Linked DNA regions of Rattus norvegicus. The main gene of each other region encodes a partner of the protein of the gene in region 3 in a complex. Links are inferred from orthologs where the notes say so. Each region holds a gene or a part of one and is shown on either strand. Other genes may lie near its edges. The genes, in order: Ramp3, Ramp2 and Calcr.

Region 1 (5,830 bases), on a different chromosome or scaffold from region 3:
CTGTCGCTGGGAGGCCATGGGCTGAGAAGGAAGGCGGAAGGCAGAAGGCTCTGCTTTGCAGGTGTGACACAGGCTGCTTCTCAGCAGGAACAGAGGCCTTTGGGGTGTGCCACGGGGATGGGCAGCCCTGTATAGCTGAGGTGTTGGGAATAAGGTTTCCCCACAGCAGAACCAGTGAGCACTTCCTGCACAGGCCACGGAGGCAACCTCAGCCGCCCTGAGCTGGTGCCCACCTGAGGTACAGAATCTGCCTCCCCATCTCTGTCTTCAGGTTGTGAGACAATCAACCCAAACTTCCTCTGTGAGAGCAACTTGCTGGTTAGCCTTTGTGTCCTGATTAGTGTCCCCCACCCCTTAGCACGGGGGAGGGGATCATGACCTAGATGTTTGGCCCCTCTAGACCTGTCCTGCACCTCTTTAGGCTGAAGCAGGATGACTGACCAAGTTAAATCAATTTTAATCTCAATTAAACTCCTTTGTTGTTGTAGCAAGCCTAGGTTTTCTAGGCTTCCCATGCTAACTGGCTTTTAAAAAAATGTTATCATTATTATTATTTTTTTTCTTTTTTCTTTTTTTCGGAGCTGGGAACCGAACCCAGGGCCTTGCGCTTGCTAGGCAAGCGCTCTACCACTGAGCTAAATCCCCAACCCCATCATTATTATTTTTTAATCTTTAAGATTCACTTAGTTTATGTGTATGAGGGGTGCACAATGTGCGTGCAGCACCCTCAGAGGCCAGGACAGGGAGAACTGGTCGTCCTGTGGAGCTGGAGTTACAGATGACCATGAGCTACTGCTACTACTTGTGGGAACCGAACCCAGGTCCTCTGCAAGCGTCCTTAACCACTGTGGCCTCTCTTCAGTAGTCCTAAATTAGTTACACGTTTTTGTTTGTTTGCTTGTTTGTTTTTCAAATTTCAAACATTCTCTCCCTTGAGTCGATTCTGGCTTCGACCAGAATTTTCTCAGTGAAAATTCACAGAAAGTTGTAGTGAGCCTTTCTAGGTCAGGAAAGGCCAGCCTAGACGGGCGTGCTCATCCAGGTGGGGAAGCCATCTCCCCAGGTCTGTGCCTTAGCTCTCAGACCAGCATGTGCTCTCTAGAGGGGCAATACACTTCGCTCCGGAAGGACAAAGAGTTCCGCTTTTCTCTTTCTGAGGAGTGGTCCCAACATCGGGAACAGGAAGGTGTCCTGGGGCCGAGGGACAGATCAAGGACAGACCATGATCTGTTCTGGTTAAGTGACCGATGGTGGAGAAATTGAAGCCTTTTCTCTTCTTCCTACCTGACGCTTCTAGAAGCCAGGTCCTCGAAGGCCCCACTCACTGACCTGCCTGCCCTCAGTTTGCTTCAGATGTAGCCATTTGCGTTTGCATGTGTGCACACTTAAGTTCCCCTCCTCGCTGCCTCCGTCTGGTAGGTCATGCTCCTCATCTTCGGTTTGCTCAGCAACCCACTTCATGCCCTTCCCTGTCCCTTGGAGACAGGGCTCTCAAACTTGTCTCTGCTTAAATATATATGCTTATCTTACAGGGGTCCCATAGGGACCTGAAAGGATGAACCTCTGGTTTCTCCAAGTTCAACCTCTTGTCTATCTCTTGCCTGGCTCCCCTCTATCAACCTGTCCTATGTCCCTTCATTTTCCCAGCTTGCTCCCCAGTTTGACGCTAAGGTCTGTAACCAGTTCATCCCCAGCCAAAACTGCAGTTTTCCGGTCAGAACCCCTTTCCTAGTCCGGCCACTCAACTGCACTTGCCTTTCCTCTGTTCCAGTCCAGATCCCAACGCTACGCTCCCCTCCGGCACCCCCACTTCCCCCCAAACTCTTCCATCCCCACCTGCCTCTCTAGAAAAAAGCTGAGGATTCTAGGCAGCCGCGAGAGTCAGAGGAGTCGGGGCGTGGCCTGGGCGGGGCTCTCCGAGGTTCCGCCTTGGTCCCGCCCCAAGTCTCTTACCTCTGCTTGTTGCTGTAAGCCGAGTGCATCTTAGCTGGCCATGGCGACCCCGGCACAGCGGCTGCACCTTCTCCCTCTGTTGCTGCTGCTTTGTGGTAAGGAGACATTTGGGTTTGGGACACTCCATCTCCTCGGGGCCTTGGGACCCATGCGGACTCTCTCCTTCCCGCATCGAGCCTAAGCTGCGCTCTCTCTTTTACCAGAGTTTGGAAAGGACGCAGGCACGCTAGCTCAAGCGCGCATCTGCAGGTTTTGTGGAGGGTCTTCATAACACCTCGGACCTTAGAGGAGCCAAAGGAAAAGGCCTTGGGTTGCTAGGGATGCACAAGGTTCCCGGCGGGGCTGCGATGTCGTGGCATCTAGGGAAAGGTCTTTGGTGAGGTAGTGAGCTTCCCGTGCAGCTGGCTAGAATCCTTTTCCAGTGAGAAAAATTGGACTCAGGGAGAAACATTGCTCTCACAAGATATAAATGGGACAAATATTAAGCTTGTTTTGAAAGGGGTGTGGAGGGCATAAAGTTAGTAGGGAGACATATTAAGGGAGCCCGAGGGAGGGAGCTTAATGGGGTGCGGACAGTAGGGGCGGATATGCTCAAAATGTGTTGTATACATATATAAAATTTCAAAGAATAAAATCATTAAAAAAGAAATACTACAAAAAAAGAAGTATCTTACTGAAGAAGTTACCCAAAGATAAGATTAATAAGAGGGCATGTGTACACGTACGTGTATATGTGTGTGTACGTACATATATGCATGTATCTGTGCCCCTGAGTGTGCATGATTGTATTTGTGTGCCTGTGTGAGCATGCGTGTGCCTGTGTACCTGTGGAAGGGTTTGATGGGAGAGAGCTTGCCAAGAGCTGGAGCGCTGGGCGAGGCCTGGCCAGAACTGGGAGGGAAGCTATTTGCAGGGGTTGGGGGTGGAGGTCTGTATCCAGGGCCATGGCGCCGAGTCCTTTAGGATGTTTCCCTTACTTTCCTGGCTCAGCCTCCTTGGCTGTAAGGCGAAGTTGGACCTGTTTGCAATGTTTCTTCAGTGTCGATGACCTGAGATGCGGTCTGGGAGTTGGGACAGAGTTGGGCCAGACTCAACAATTGGTTCTCTCCCTTCGAAGAGGTCTCTGTTTACAGAGTGAGGCCCTGTTTCATGTTCTACAGAGGGCACCAAGGCTAGGGTAGAGCTTTATGTTGAAGGGCTGGCACTGTGGCCACTTCCAGAAGGCCGTGCAGTGTTTTTGGGATTTTAGCGAAACTCCAACGAAAGGCTCCTCGGTGAGGATTTTGGTTTCTAGAGGAAGGAAGGTCCAGAGTTTATGTTGAGGGAAACCCTGTCTCTCCTGACTGTTTCTAGTGTGGAACTGGGAAGCAACTGCACGAAATCCTAGCAGTCCTGGTCCCCCTTCCCATCCTACTTTGGAAGTGCCCACTGTCGTCCTCACCCAGGGGAGCAGGCTTCTTGGCGGCAGGGCAGGCTCAGCCTTCTCACAGACATGGCTGCTCCGAGTCTGGCCAGCCCAAGAGTCAGAGACGAAGCCCGTCGCACGCAGGCTGGCCAAGGTGGGCTCTGAGCTCGGTCCACCTTCTGGAAGGGAAGAACTGAGCTTCCGAGTGCCTAGTATGCTGACCACCATCTGTGCTTTGTTGACACTGTGATGTCCGGAACTCTAGCCTGCATAGATTTGGGGCCCAGTCATTGCAGAGAGCAGCATCAGGAGAGACATCGCTTCCAAACAATAAAGGTCTGGGCCTGTGGGGCTTCCTCGGAATTCTAAAGTACTCTGCGAGGACACTTTGATACTTCTCAGGATCCTGGGATGAGGAGTCCAGCAGGTGTCTCCTTTTATTTTTATTAATTAATTAATTAATTAATTAATTATATGTATGAATACACTGTTGCTGTCTCCAGACACACCAGAAGAGGGCATCAGATCCCATTACAGATGGCTGTGAGCCACCATGTGGTTGCTGGGATTTGAACTCAGGACCTCTGGAAGAGCAGTCAGTGCTTTAACCACTGAGCCATCTCTCCAGCCCAGCGGGTGTCTCCTTATCGGCTCTTAGCCTCAGTTTCCCTAATTACAGCAGGAGTGCAGCTGCGGAGTGCGCCTGGGTTGACTGGCTTGGGTCAGTTGAGTTCAGGCCAATCACTGTGCTGTGGAGGCAAAATGCTCTCCTGATAAAGAGGAGGGTGCTCCTGGTTCTTACCACCGTGAGGAGAGCACCCCCGGGATCTGTGTGAGCACGCATGTGGTGTGTGTGTGTGAACATGGTGTCCCGATTTTGTCATGAGCTATAGTAATGTGCCGTACACACTCATTTTGAGCGGACAAGCAGTACTGGAGACGTGAGGTCTTGAAGAAGGTGGTTTGTTAAACGCAGAATTTTCAGTATTGGAGCTGCCTTGGAGGTCATTGGCCCATTTCCCATAAGGGAATTCAGGTGGAGAGATAGGGAGAGAACTGCTCTGAGCACATGCGCAGGGGACAGAACAGCCTGGACACCGCAGCCGCCGAGGCCAGCCGCCCATGCCTTTGCGGCCAGTCTGGTTGTGCTCATTCCATGGAGGATGAAAGTGCCTGGTTTCATTTCCAGATGACAAAGGTCCGTTCTCTAGGAAATGCATCTGCCCGGCTGTTTATCATTTCTCGGCATCTGGAAGTCGCCGAGACAAAAGACGCACAGGGCTGAGTGTTCTTTGTTTCGGAACGGAACCATCCGGAATGGATTTCTACGTTGATTCAGTTCCTGAGAACAGTACAGATCAGCCAGCAGCTTGAGTGGTGGCGACTTTCATGGAGTCCCAGGGGTCAGGGGCTTTACTCAAGAGTGCCCTTTTAGCCTTGTATGCATCTGAAATGGTGACGGACTGGGGTCCCCTGGGAGGGCACCGTCTGTGACCTTGTGCCTGTCTAGGGTGGTCCCAGAGCATTTTTGAAACTCTCCTGATCAGGGCGGGGAAGTCAGCAGTTCTGTTCGAGGGTAGCACACAGTCCTCCATGGTACCTCACAGCTGCATGGGACAGACTCTTGCTTTGTCATGCCCTGAGCGGTTCAGGGGTAATCAAGGCTTCTGGGACCAGGCGAAGGTTCTAGAGTTCATTCACAATGACCCTGGGGCTACTTGGAGATACTGGGGTTTTCACATGGCACATGGAGATTTTGGGGTGTGTGGAGATTCTAGAGCATGTGAGCGTTACGGTGTGCAGAGGGGTCTGGGGCACACAGAGGTTCTGGTGGTGGGGGATTTCTGGGGCACATGGAAATTCTGGGGTATGTAAAGCTTCCGGGGTACATTAGAACACTGGAAAACATGGAAACTGGGATACACAGGGATTCAAGGCAGAGCCAGGAGGCAGGCGTGTGGTGAGAGACTCCTCACCCCTTCTTCTTAGGTAGTTGGGTTCGCTTGGCGGAGGGTGGTAAAGTCATGGAGAAATGACTGAGCAAGCCTGTTCTGACCAGACTTGGCGTGCGTACCTGTGTGTGTGTGTGTGTGTGTGTGTGTGTGTGTGTGTGTGTGTGTGTGTGTGATGGAGGGAAGGGAAATCTGTCATCTTTAATCTGCCTCCCAGAATTCTGATTCTTTCTGACATCCAAGGTGAAGAGAAGAAAAGGAAGAGGGAGAGGGAAGGTGACCAAGGGGCAGAATGGAAAAAGGAGGAGGTGGGGGAGGGGGAGAGGGGAGGAAGCCTTGGTGGTCTGGTGGTTGGTCGGCAGGGCAGGCTGAGGGGGCTGTTTTAGGCCCAGATCTTGGAAGGCAAGAGTGGGAATGTGGGTCCCCAGAGTGTGTGAGTGGTGGGGCTCGCCCGCTGTGTCTGGGTGGAGGTCAGTACCTCTAGTACTGAGAGGATCCCAGCAGGGACTGACAAAGCCAG
Region 2 (5,449 bases), on a different chromosome or scaffold from region 3:
CGTGATGGCATATGCGGGGTTGGGGATTTAGCTCAGCGGTAGAGCACTTGCCTAGCAAGCGCAAGGCCCTGGGTTCGGCCCCCAGCTCCAAAAAAAAAAAAAAAAAAAAAAACCCAAAAAACTGTAATGGCATATGCATTTAATCCCAGCCCTTGGGAGGCAGACACAGGAAGATCTCTGGGTTTCGGGATAGCCAGGGCTACACAGAGAAACCTTGTCTGCAAAAAACAAAACGAAATCCCTTTGGTGACAGATATGGCCTGAGAGGAGTATATCTTTGACAACACATAGGAAGGTTCCAAGAAATGCAGACATCTATCTACAAAACAGATAAGCATGTGCCAGGGAAGAGACATGCACATATTTGGCAAGCAGATATTTCAGCAGGGAGAACAGAAGCCTCTGAAGAGGTTAAGAGGGCTGCAAAAGGGATTGGGGATTTAGCTCAGTGGTAGAGCGCTTGCCTAGCAAGCACAAGGCCCTGGGTTCGGTCCCCAGCTCCGGAAAAAAAAAAGAGGGCTGCAAAAGGTAATCAGGTGTTTTCACATAAAGCAAAGTTGCTTTGCCTGTGTGTGGGAGGACCCGACAAGTGTAGCCCAGAAGTATTGGACATGAGAGTTTCCCGGTGAGGAGAACTAATCTTCCCTGCCCGGGAAACAGTTCATACACGGAAATGGTGAGTTGCAGAGAAGCAGATATGTTAATAGAATATCATAGCCATATTTCTCAAAAAAGCTAATAGAAGAGCCTGGCTAACAACTAGGTTGTAATGGAAATAACGTTTCTGAACCCCAGGGTCCAGTGTTTCTCAGCCTGGAACCTGTTCCAGGTTTTATACATTGTCTGGTTGTTGGTTTTAGTGGACACCAGGGGGCAGTGTGTGGCCATGATGGATCTCTTAGACAATGTGGGATGAAGGCCAGGAACATAAAGGGGAACAGTAGAATCCGGTAAAGGAAGCCCCCGTTGCCTTGGGCCTCAAGCCTGAGACGCTGATGGACAAATTCCTATTGGTAATCATATTTCTTCTTTCTGGCTGTAGAGTAAACTGAGGCGAAGAAGGCAAAGCTGGGCTCCTGGGTAGCCTTTTTTCCTTGCAGGGGTTATTGTAGAGGTTTCTTGCCCCTCCTCCCACACCTTCCCAACCACAGGCCCCCAGCTGTTGTCCAGACCGGAAGGGAGTCTCTTCCTGCTCATTTCCTGGAGCTGGGTTTGGATAGCTGCAGGAAAGGCCTCTCCCTGGGAGGAAAGAGTATAGGAACATGGCCTTCATGTGGAAGCGGAGGGCAGGTGAAATGAACTGAACAGCAGGGTCGTCTTCAAGCTCCGTTGCCCAGTAATGATGCCCCGTAGGACTATCATCTACACAGACCCCACTAGGAAGGGACGATTGTACAAAAACATATTTTATTTTAAAGACGACGGACATTGTGCTATCAGTTCCCCTTTCTTCCATTTCCACCAATCCGAAGGTCTGTGGGAAGGATGGGAGTAAGTGGGTAGGGAGGGGAGGAGAGATCCTGGTTCCAGCAGGGTACAGGGAAAAGATGGCTGCTGAGAGGCGGAGCCTACGCCTGCGCATCGCCGTCTTTACTCCTCCACACCACAAGCGTAACGAGGAAAGGGATGAGGCAGATGGGGGCTATGATCATGGCCAGAAGCACATCCTCTGGGGGATCGGAGAAGGTAGGCTGCACCAAGGAGCAGTTGGCAAAGTGTATCAGGTGAGCCTCAAGGATGATACTTTCTGCCAAGGGATTTGGGAAGCCCAGGCCAAACTTGTCTGCCTCGTACTCCAAGCAATACCGCAGGTTGCTGTAATACCTGGAGAGCAGTAGGGGATTCGAGTGAGGGAAGGATTGGGTCCAGGGAGAAGGATGACCCCCCACCCCCCACCCACAAAGGTCAGATCCAACTCCTGGCCTGAGCCATCCTCCTTCAACACTGCCCCTACCTGCTAATCAAAGTCCAGTTGCACCAGTCCTTGACAGAGTCCATGGAAGTCTTGTAATAATACCAGCAAGGTAGGACATTTGTTTCGTAGTCCTCCATCTTCCCTGTGGGGACAGAGGCTTCCCAATGACCACACCCCTGGCCCTCCCTCCGAGCCTTCTGATCCAGGTATTTCCAGAGTACAGTCTTCTGCCTTTAGAGAAGGGAATCCCTCTGAAAATCTCCCTAGCAGGACACTTGTGGCCGAGAGGAGCATTCTCTCCCCGAACTCTGTGGCTCGGGAATCCTGCAATGGCAATTATATTGTCTAGCCCCGCAAGATATTCACATAGACCTAGTCTTGCTCTACCTAGCCAACTGGGCCAAGGCACTGGACTGTGGCTTTGTGGGATGATAGGGAGGAAGACCATAGGAACCCCAAGAGACACCAGAGAGGTTAGCGGGCATCAGTTGGTTCTAGGATTGTCTTGTGAAAGGACTCCTCCCCCGTGCTGGGCTTATCCTTCCCACTAGGTCATTCTCCCTCAGACTTAGGCACTCACCTTTTGACAGAAGGCTGTCCTCAGTAGGATGAGATTGATTCAGGGACTCCGGAGAGGTTGAGACAGCTGTATAAAGAAATGAACCAGAAGGGTGGGGTGATATGGGGAGAGGTCTGAACAGTAGTACCTGTTTATGGGTAGCGAGCAAGGCCCTGGGAAGTCAGCACTGCTTTGGAACAAAAAGAATAATCTCCCCTCCTCCCCCATGGGATTGTCCTATTGAGGGAAGGGAACGGCTGGTACCAGATGCGTCCCAATCACTCCCGAGTCCAAAGCCCTCTCCCTCTTTGTCAGTCCTGAACCTCCTAAGACTTCTCTGCGGGGTCCGAGCAGGCACCCCAGCTTTTCTTAAGTACGAAGCAGCCTAAGTAGCTGGCCTGCGCCAAACCAGAGATGTGTTCAGGACCCATGTGCAGGTCAGAGCTGCTCCTCACGTCGGTTGGCACTCGCAGGGTGGTCCCGTGCTGGCCTCGATGGCCCAGGCCCCTTCCCCTCCCGGACCTCCCTCATCTCCCACCCGGGCCCCAACGCTGTGCTCACCGCCCAGCAGCAGCAGCAACAGCAGCAGTAACAGCGGAGGGAGGCGGAGCGCTGCGGGCCGCTGGGCGCTGGTCACAGCGAGCTGTGATCCACCCGGGGCGCGCTCTACCCGGAGCGGAGCCATCACGCCTTGGGCGAGATGGCGAGGAGGGGCGGCGGAGCTGAGCTGGCCCGGGCGGGGGCGCCTATATCCCGGGCCCCAGCCGCAGGAAGCCGCGCCGCTTCCTCGGAGGGGCTGGCACGGCGGCGGCCACGTGGGGGGCGGGCTGCAGAGGGAGTCACTGCCGCACCCGTAATTCACTCGGCCTGGATTGCCTTGGCCCACTCTCGCTTCCAGCTCGGACCGCGGGGCTGGACAGCTCCCCCTGTACCCCATGAACCGGGATCCACTTCCCATCCCGGACTAGCTCAAGTCTGCCAGCATCAGCCGAGGGATTCCAGTCGCTTCCTCCTTCTCGCACCGGAGGGGTGGGGACCCGCTGCTGTCCCAGACCTGGGGAAGAAGGAGGCGGTTGGGAGCTCCAAGGGCCTCCGATGCCTTGGTATCTGAGGCAGGGGTTTGGGTGGGAAGTGGCGGCAAGAGCTGCGCCCGCACCACTTTCTTTTCCCAGGGAACACCCACTGATGTCTGCCAAAATCCGGATAGTAGAGGGGCCTGGCCCTACTGAGAAAGGGAGAAGACGGTCAGGGAAGCAGGGTAGGGAGGTAGTAATATCTAAATAACCCTCCTTCAATGTAAATTCTGGGTCCTTCACCCACAAACCTGATATTGGAGTGCAAAAAGAAAGATGACTACATTTCCAGGAAAATGGCCACCCAGGTTGTTAGAACTAAGGGAGACACTAGAACTTTTTTTTTTCTTTTTTTCTCCTTTTCGGAGCTGGGGACCGAACCCAGGGCTTTGCGCTAGCTAGGCAAGCGCTCTACCACTGAACTAAATCCCCAACCCCTGATACTAGAACTTTCAATGTGCCACTTAGTGTTTGAGGTGAGCTGCTGCTGCTGCTGCTGCTGCTGCTGCTGCTGCTGCTGCTGCTGCTGCTGCTGCTGCTGCTGCTGGAACCCAGCCCCAAGGCAAGCATATTTTTACCACCACCAGTTTTATAGAGGAGGAGGCAGCTAAAGATTAAGGAGAGACCCCAGGACTCGAACTGAAAAGTTCTGTTCCTAAATCTATTTTCCCACTCCCCGGCCTTGGACGCTACAGTTGCCATCGGTTTCTCATGCACCATTAAGACCTTGCTCTCCTTCTGCTCTGGAGGAATCTCCTCCTTTGTAGAAAGAGACTGTACTCACTCCACAGAAGCCGGTTTTCTTTTTTTCCCTTTCCTGAGTAACTTGGCTAAGGTCGAATTTTACTGGGAAGCCCTGAGGCTCAGTCTGGGCCCCCAGGGATCCTGCCAGCTATCACAACTCAGCTGTTGCTGTATATTGGGCCAGCTATCCATTAGCCTGAATTAGCCCAGGGGCTTGTTTGATCGCACTTTTTAATTCCAATCATACAGCTGTCAGCACAAAACTTTCCCAATTACTCCCAGACATTGACCCTTGAACTCAGCTGTTGCTGTTGTCCCAGTTTACTGATCTCAGTCCACCAAAGTTATCTTTTATGGTCTCTTAAAAAAAAAAAGAAGAAGAAAAAGAAAAAGCATCTCAGGACCTCAGCTGCATCATGGCGACAGGCAGCTGGAATTAATTAATTATAGGCAGCATAAGGGGTGGTGGTGGCCCTTTGAACGCCTCAGAGTTCTGTTGGTAAGGGTCGTTCCTTCAAAGGTGCAGAGAGCCAAGTAGCCTCCGAGACGCTTCAAACTGGGGACCAAACTTTATATCTCCCATTCTTCAAAGAATCACCCTTTCCTTCTTTAGATCTTAAATGCTTTTCAATGTACATATGTGTGTGTTGGGGGGGGCACATGTATGTATGTACATGTGTGCAGGTGCCTGAAGAAGCCAGAGTAGAGTATTGGGGGGTGGGGGTCCTCTGGAGCTGAAGTTACAAAGGAGTGGGAACCACATGAGTGCTGGGAACTGAACGTCTTCCTGTGCAGGAGCAGAAAAATGCTCTTAACCACTAAGTGATCTCCCTAGCTGCTTGCCTGCCTTCCTTCCTTCCTCTCTCCTTACTTTCTCCTCCCTTCCTTCCTTCTGTCTCCTCCCTCCCTTCCTTCTTCCTTCCTTCTGGATCAGTATCTCACGAAGCTCCAGTTTGCCTCAACATAGCCAGGGAAGACCTTGAATTTGTGATCTACCCGCTCCACTTTTTGAGTATTGGGATCACAAGAGTTCACAGCCACACCCAGTTGATGTTATGCCGAGGATAAAACGCAGGGCCTTAAGCGTGCCAGGCAAGCCCTCTATCCACTGAGCTCCTTCCCAGCCCAGCACTGCCCTTGTCGAGAAGGACATTTGGC
Region 3 (5,276 bases):
AGGCCTGAAGGATTCTCATTATGGAGCATTTTGGTTCCAATTTATAGGAATGTAGCTCAAAGTAAGGGCACCATACAAAGCCCATTCTGCCTATGCCACCCTTCAGAAGGAGATTTCTAGAAGTGTTTGGCCAACACTGACATTTATTTTATTTTGCATTGGTTTAAAAAGAATTTCTTGCAATTAAACTTTGATTATCTCTGTTGTTCTGGGTTAGGATTTTGACTTCAATAATAAGTGAGAAATTTCCTCAAGGGAGCCCTCAAAGTATCTCCCAAGCCTTGTCTCGGTGAAGGGCTTATATATTGCTCTTATGGGAATTCCAGAGACACTTAAACACCTGTGGCCAGGTCAGATCATATGACCCTTGGAAAACAATATTATCTTCTTCTAGAGACTTACATAGTGTGTCTGTAGCTGATCTTTAGTTTCATCATCTGGGCATTGGTTCTAATTAAGGCTTATTTAGCCTTTTCAGTATCTTCTAGATTTAACTTAATGGGAGAGATTTTTTTTTCTTCTAGGGTGTCTGAGTAAGATTTTTCTGGATCTGATCAGGCAGATCTTGTAGTGAGCAGCTACACCCAATAGACCTCTTCTTACCAGGTGCACCTGGTGCTCTGCTCCCTAAAGGTCCACTGTTCAGTACCGTTATTTGAGCCTGGCAAGCCTTGATCGTGTCTATACCAGGATTTTCCCCCACCTTTTATTAATTAAAATTACCAAATCCCATTTCCTTCTCACACCTCTCTGTCTACTGTATTGAGGCTGGTAATCTATCTGCACACCTTTGCACCACTCCTGAGTATTCATCGCGGAACTGCCTCAGCCCTAGACCTCCACACTTGTATACGTGAAGACTCTAAAATAAATGACATCGGCCTTTTAAATTTCATACCACCCAGAACCTGACCCTCCTAGACTGTCCTCCTCGAGCATTCCAGGTTGGTGTCTAACGATACCTGTGTGATGGGGTGAAGCCCTGAAAAGACAATGTGCCCTCTCATAAAGGTTAGCGAATGTGTTCCAGTAGATCTCGACATCGTGTACTGAGTGGATTCCCTTGCAGTATGATGTTAAATATTGTCAGTTTGAAATGAAATAATAAATATGAAAAATGCTTTGCAATGTGGAAGGTGATGTTTGGTGCGACACACCGTTATGTAACTTCAATAGCTGAAGTAGATTTTGTGTCCACTTGTATATTTAACACATTTTTTAAAATTCATAGCAAAAACATAAAATGAAACTAAAGCCCGTACCTGTTGGGTCAAAGTCCGGAAAGTAGTCAGGGCAGTGCTGATAGGACATTACACCAGCTGGAGTGTCGTCCCAGCACATCCATCCATCCCAAGTTCGGTTGCAATATGGACCTGGGGATGCGGGAAGAAACTTGCACTGAAACACGTGGCTTGTGTGAAGGAGATTGTTTTCTGAGGAGATCAGAGAGGTTGGATCCTATCGCTTCAGTCAAGACTAATTGTATTTCAAGTGAGCCATTCTCGTTAATTTTCTTTTGAAATAAACATTCAAAGGATGTTGGTATATCTGTGGGGGAAAATCTCATTGGAGGGCAGGCAGGGTTCTTGTTTTAGCTTTGTAAGAGGCTCTGAGGTTGGGCTTCTCATAAGGCGAGCAGCTCCAAACAATGCACTTCTGTCCATTTATTTAATTGTAGAGGAGATCGAAAATTTAGCTCACAAACAAACAAAAAAAAATCGAACAGGCTCTGAGGTATGTTGTTAAGTTTTTGTTTATTGAAAATTTTACCCTTTTCAAAATATTCAACCAAGAAGTTGAATTTAAATTGTAATACTTATAGTTCACGTAAGGTGAGGCACATTTTCTACCTTTACCTTCATAGCAGTGAAGAAAAATTCATCTGTGGGATTATTTATCAGAACTGATAATACAGATCGACTCCTCTAAAATCTGAAATATATTTACATAGGGATAATATATTTTCTAATTTAATAGAGCATATCATTGTGCTGCATCTGATAAATCTTTTTTAGTTATCACTAGAGCATTATTTCACCATTTTCCACCTTTCTAAGCTTTGTCTTACAGTGTTCAAGGCTACCTAAAAGTCTTATTCAGTCTTCGAAGATGGGTCAGAGACATGGAGGAGGATTGAAAAGGCTGTGCCAATGCTCTCCTATCACACAGTTTTTCTTTTCCTTTTCTTCTCTGGGACTTCTACAGAAAGTAAACTATACTTAGCCCTGAAAGTATTTGGGCTACAAAGATTACTCTAGAAAAGAGCACAGATTAACTATGCTTACTGAGGCCATTCCCCACAGACTGGCGATGCGGTAATGAGAGAGAAGAATTATCAGAGGTTGTCAATGAATTGGCATTTGAAGGAAAGATACACCTAATGAATCCAAACAAGACAGAGTTTGCACAGATTCTGCCTCAGGCAGATGCCCTGCCAATCGCTTTGCATTTCTCTGCTGTCGCTCAGTCCTGTACTGTTCCTCCTTATTAGGTGTGAATGCTGATTTATTGAGGTAATTTTGTCATAAGGGCTAATGTCAGCCAAAATGCTATTCTATATAGGAGGGGAATAATCATATGTACTGAACAAAACACACACGCACAGCATAATGTGAGACTGTAGATCTATTCCATTTCAACTACTCACTACTATTGATGCCTTGGGAAGAAACCGACTTAAATGATGCTACACACGTAGGTTCACATGTTTCTTTTACCTTCTCCCTCATAAGGGGGCAACTGCTGAATCCGGTCATAGCACTTGTACTGAGCATCCAGAAGCTTCTTGCGTCCAACCAAGTACAGGAATGGCTCCTGATCAAGGCCGGAGTCAGTGAGATTGGTAGGAGCCTGAAGAACTGGAGTAGGGCTCTGTATAAAAGGTACAGAGAAGGAAATGACTTAACACAAAAATATAAATGTGCTAATTGTAAAAAATACAAAAACATTTCTTTTCTCTGTAAGCAACATTTATGTAGAACTTTACATAAAATATTCTATAATGAAAATGCATCATGTTTAACATTCATATTCTACCCACTTATACTTGTATCAATGTACAGTTCATTTAACATTCATATTCTACCCACTTATACTTGTATCAATGTACAGTTGCTATTGAGAATGTAGAGCAATCATACACACTCACACACATCTTATAGTTTTGGTTGTGAGCCTAGCCTTTAACGGCTGAGCCATCTCTCCAGCCCACTCACACACATCTTAATAATCTCCTATGGTTTTAATTTATTTTCTTTGGAAAGTCTACACATAAACGGGGCAAATAATTTGATTTTCGAAACATCTCCATTTTAGACCAACTTTTCCATCTTTGTAAATCTTAAGAATCATGGGTTGCACATTTAAAAACATAGAAATTACAGGAAAAACATGCTTCTTTAGTGGACATCTTCAGCTAGGTTTTGCTCAGGTGTGGTTTGTGTACTCTGCCAAAATTTGCCTTGTGCATCCCTCGGATCAAAGAAAATAATTGACTTTAAGTTCTTCAAAGTGGCACTTGACTTACACATTGTAATTCATATTCAGTGAACAAAGCAAATATAACTCTTCAATGTTTATATTGGTACATCGGGTTTCAGAACAAGTTGACATTGCCTTTCTACTCAGTCACCATCTGCAGGTCTTTGCTTCCCATAAGTTGTGTGTTTGGACATGTGTGTACGAGTGAGGTGATCATCACTATACTGTCTCTTCTCGCTTGTAATCAAGAGTTCCGTTTTCTCAGTTGACACACCCGGTGTGCATCTTAGTAGTGCCAGCCACATTAGGAATAAAGCTTATTTATTTGTTGAGCTTCGTGCTCAAATATCTCTGATTCTGTGTCTCCCACTATGTCCGACCCTGCAATAACATGTCATCAATGTGAAGATGTATAGTACAAAATTCAGAATAGGGAAAGGATCTGGGGTAAAAATATTTCATGACAGTTACAGATACATAGAAGAATTTGAATGGGATCTTGGGTTTCTGGAGGGATCTAGAGAAGAGAAGAAAGGCTGTGTAGAGGGAAAAGCCACACTAATGTTCAGGGACTGCTATGACACTGTGGTGACATCATCATGACAAAGGGGAGTATAGTTTAGGATAGGTAAGGAGTTGAAGAAAACAGATATTGCATATTTCTGAAATACCAAAAAAATTTAAAAAAACCCATTACATATTTTGATCAATTAAGGTTTGGAAGGCAGAATTATAGCAATGTTCATTCAGCAGCATAGATCTCCACAATTCAAAGGTCGTGGGGAGAGGGGAGGCTGGAAATTGAATGTCTGGGCCATAGCACCCCATGGTAGAATAAGAGAACACAGCTCTCGACACTTTGCCATGCAGTGGAGAGATGAAGACATATCTCAATATAAGGACTGGGAGTAGTGATGCCCAAAGGGCATAGATATTTGGTCCACACTTCTGAAAAAAAGGGTGATTTCTGGAGGAAGCAATATGGGGTCAAATTAAAATCTGTGTGGGGGAAGGTGAGCACTGGTTTAGACATGCCCACAAGTTAGTTGGGTAGAAACTGTTTATATGGTGAAGACGGTGGATACTTCTAACCGTTATAACACTCCTACAATTTGAATATTGATTACTTGGTATTTAATGTATCTTAAATTTATTACAGCAGAGAAATGGATGACCCTGGTCAAATAAACGTGTGCAGCCCCTTTAACCACGTCACAAAACGCAGCTCCCTGTGAAGACTCATTTCTCACTGATTTTCAGAGAGAAATGGTTACTGAACTGGGCAAGCCAAACATTCCTGAGGATGAAGTCCTGAAGCAAACAGGTGTGAATCCTGCTTCTGTGGACCTAACTGTCTAGGAAGAGACACTCCTGACCAGAGACACCATGAACAATCATCTCCCTGCAGGACATTCTCAGATATACCATTAGAAATTAGAATGTGTTTTTGTTCAGCTTACATTTTTCTATTTTACTTTTTTAAAAAGAGATTCCTTATTTGTGTTTGTGTTTTAATATCTAATTTGCTCACATTTGTAAGGAAGTATGTGATTATATTTAAAACGTCTAAATTGATATGACTGAACCATTAAAGAAGGGAGGATGGCATTGCTCTTGTGGGATAGATAGTCAAAGTTTATCTATTTGGAAGCCATTTGGGGGCTCACTTGATTATGTTTAATTGAGTGCTATCTGTTCATTGTCTTCTAATTAAATTAGAAGCTGGAATGATATATATACGGTGAAGAGGGTAGATACTTCTCACTATTTTTAACACTTCTACTATTTGGATATTG

What was found.
Region 1: the proteins of Calcr (region 3) and Ramp3 are in contact, whole or in part, in a cryo-EM structure (PDB 8F0K), measured with the Homo sapiens proteins. The link is inferred for Rattus norvegicus from reciprocal best matches to the Homo sapiens genes CALCR and RAMP3. Residues at the interface, in NP_001158210.1 of Homo sapiens: Arg45, Lys46, Met49, Asp50, Gln52, Tyr53, Lys54, Tyr56, Asp57, Met59, Gln60, Arg74, Thr75, Trp76, Asp77, Gly78, Asn124, Arg126, Phe235, Leu238, Ile242, Thr246, Gln257, Arg258, Trp261, Tyr262, Leu264, Leu265, Phe269, Ile276; in NP_005847.1 of Homo sapiens: Cys57, Leu59, Ile63, Tyr66, Glu67, Thr70, Tyr83, Trp84, Pro85, Gln90, Ile93, Thr94, His97, Arg98, Phe101, Ser102, Cys104, Val106, His110, Leu111, Glu112, Asp113, Pro114, Val118, Leu119, Leu122, Ile123, Pro126, Val127, Leu129.
Region 2: the proteins of Calcr (region 3) and Ramp2 are in contact, whole or in part, in a cryo-EM structure (PDB 7TYX), measured with the Homo sapiens proteins. The link is inferred for Rattus norvegicus from reciprocal best matches to the Homo sapiens genes CALCR and RAMP2. Residues at the interface, in NP_001158210.1 of Homo sapiens: Arg45, Lys46, Met48, Met49, Asp50, Gln52, Tyr53, Lys54, Tyr56, Asp57, Met59, Gln60, Trp76, Gly78, Arg126, Phe235, Leu238, Ile242, Thr246, Val250, Glu255, Lys256, Gln257, Arg258, Trp261, Tyr262, Leu264, Leu265, Phe269, Pro273; in NP_005845.2 of Homo sapiens: Trp86, Tyr93, Ser94, Arg97, Asp98, Glu101, Leu109, Pro112, Glu117, Ile120, Phe121, His124, Phe128, Cys131, Pro136, Phe138, Ser139, Asp140, Pro141, Leu146, Met149, Ile150, Pro153, Ile154, Leu156, Ile157, Leu160, Ile161, Leu163, Val164.

What each region holds. Positions count from the first base shown.
Region 1 is NC_086032.1:85,739,353-85,745,182, forward strand, and holds the start of Ramp3 (receptor activity-modifying protein 3 precursor), read left to right. Parts: upstream 1-1,961; 5' UTR 1,962-1,993; coding exon 1,994-2,048; intron 2,049-5,830. UniProt on the Homo sapiens protein: Accessory protein that interacts with and modulates the function of G-protein coupled receptors including calcitonin gene-related peptide type 1 receptor (CALCRL), calcitonin receptor (CALCR) and G-protein coupled estrogen receptor 1 (GPER1).
Region 2 is NC_086028.1:86,686,898-86,692,346, reverse strand, and holds Ramp2 (receptor activity-modifying protein 2 precursor), read right to left. Parts: upstream 3,200-5,449; 5' UTR 3,160-3,199; coding exon 3,036-3,159; intron 2,562-3,035; coding exon 2,496-2,561; intron 2,058-2,495; coding exon 1,955-2,057; intron 1,825-1,954; coding exon 1,569-1,824; 3' UTR 1,391-1,568; downstream 1-1,390. UniProt on the Homo sapiens protein: Accessory protein that interacts with and modulates the function of G-protein coupled receptors including calcitonin gene-related peptide type 1 receptor (CALCRL) and calcitonin receptor (CALCR). Required for the transport of CALCRL to the plasma membrane.
Region 3 is NC_086022.1:32,641,737-32,647,012, forward strand, and holds part of Calcr (calcitonin receptor isoform 1a precursor), read right to left. Parts: intron 2,872-5,276; coding exon 2,718-2,871; intron 1,374-2,717; coding exon 1,263-1,373; intron 1-1,262. UniProt on the Homo sapiens protein: G protein-coupled receptor activated by ligand peptides amylin (IAPP), calcitonin (CT/CALCA) and calcitonin gene-related peptide type 1 (CGRP1/CALCA).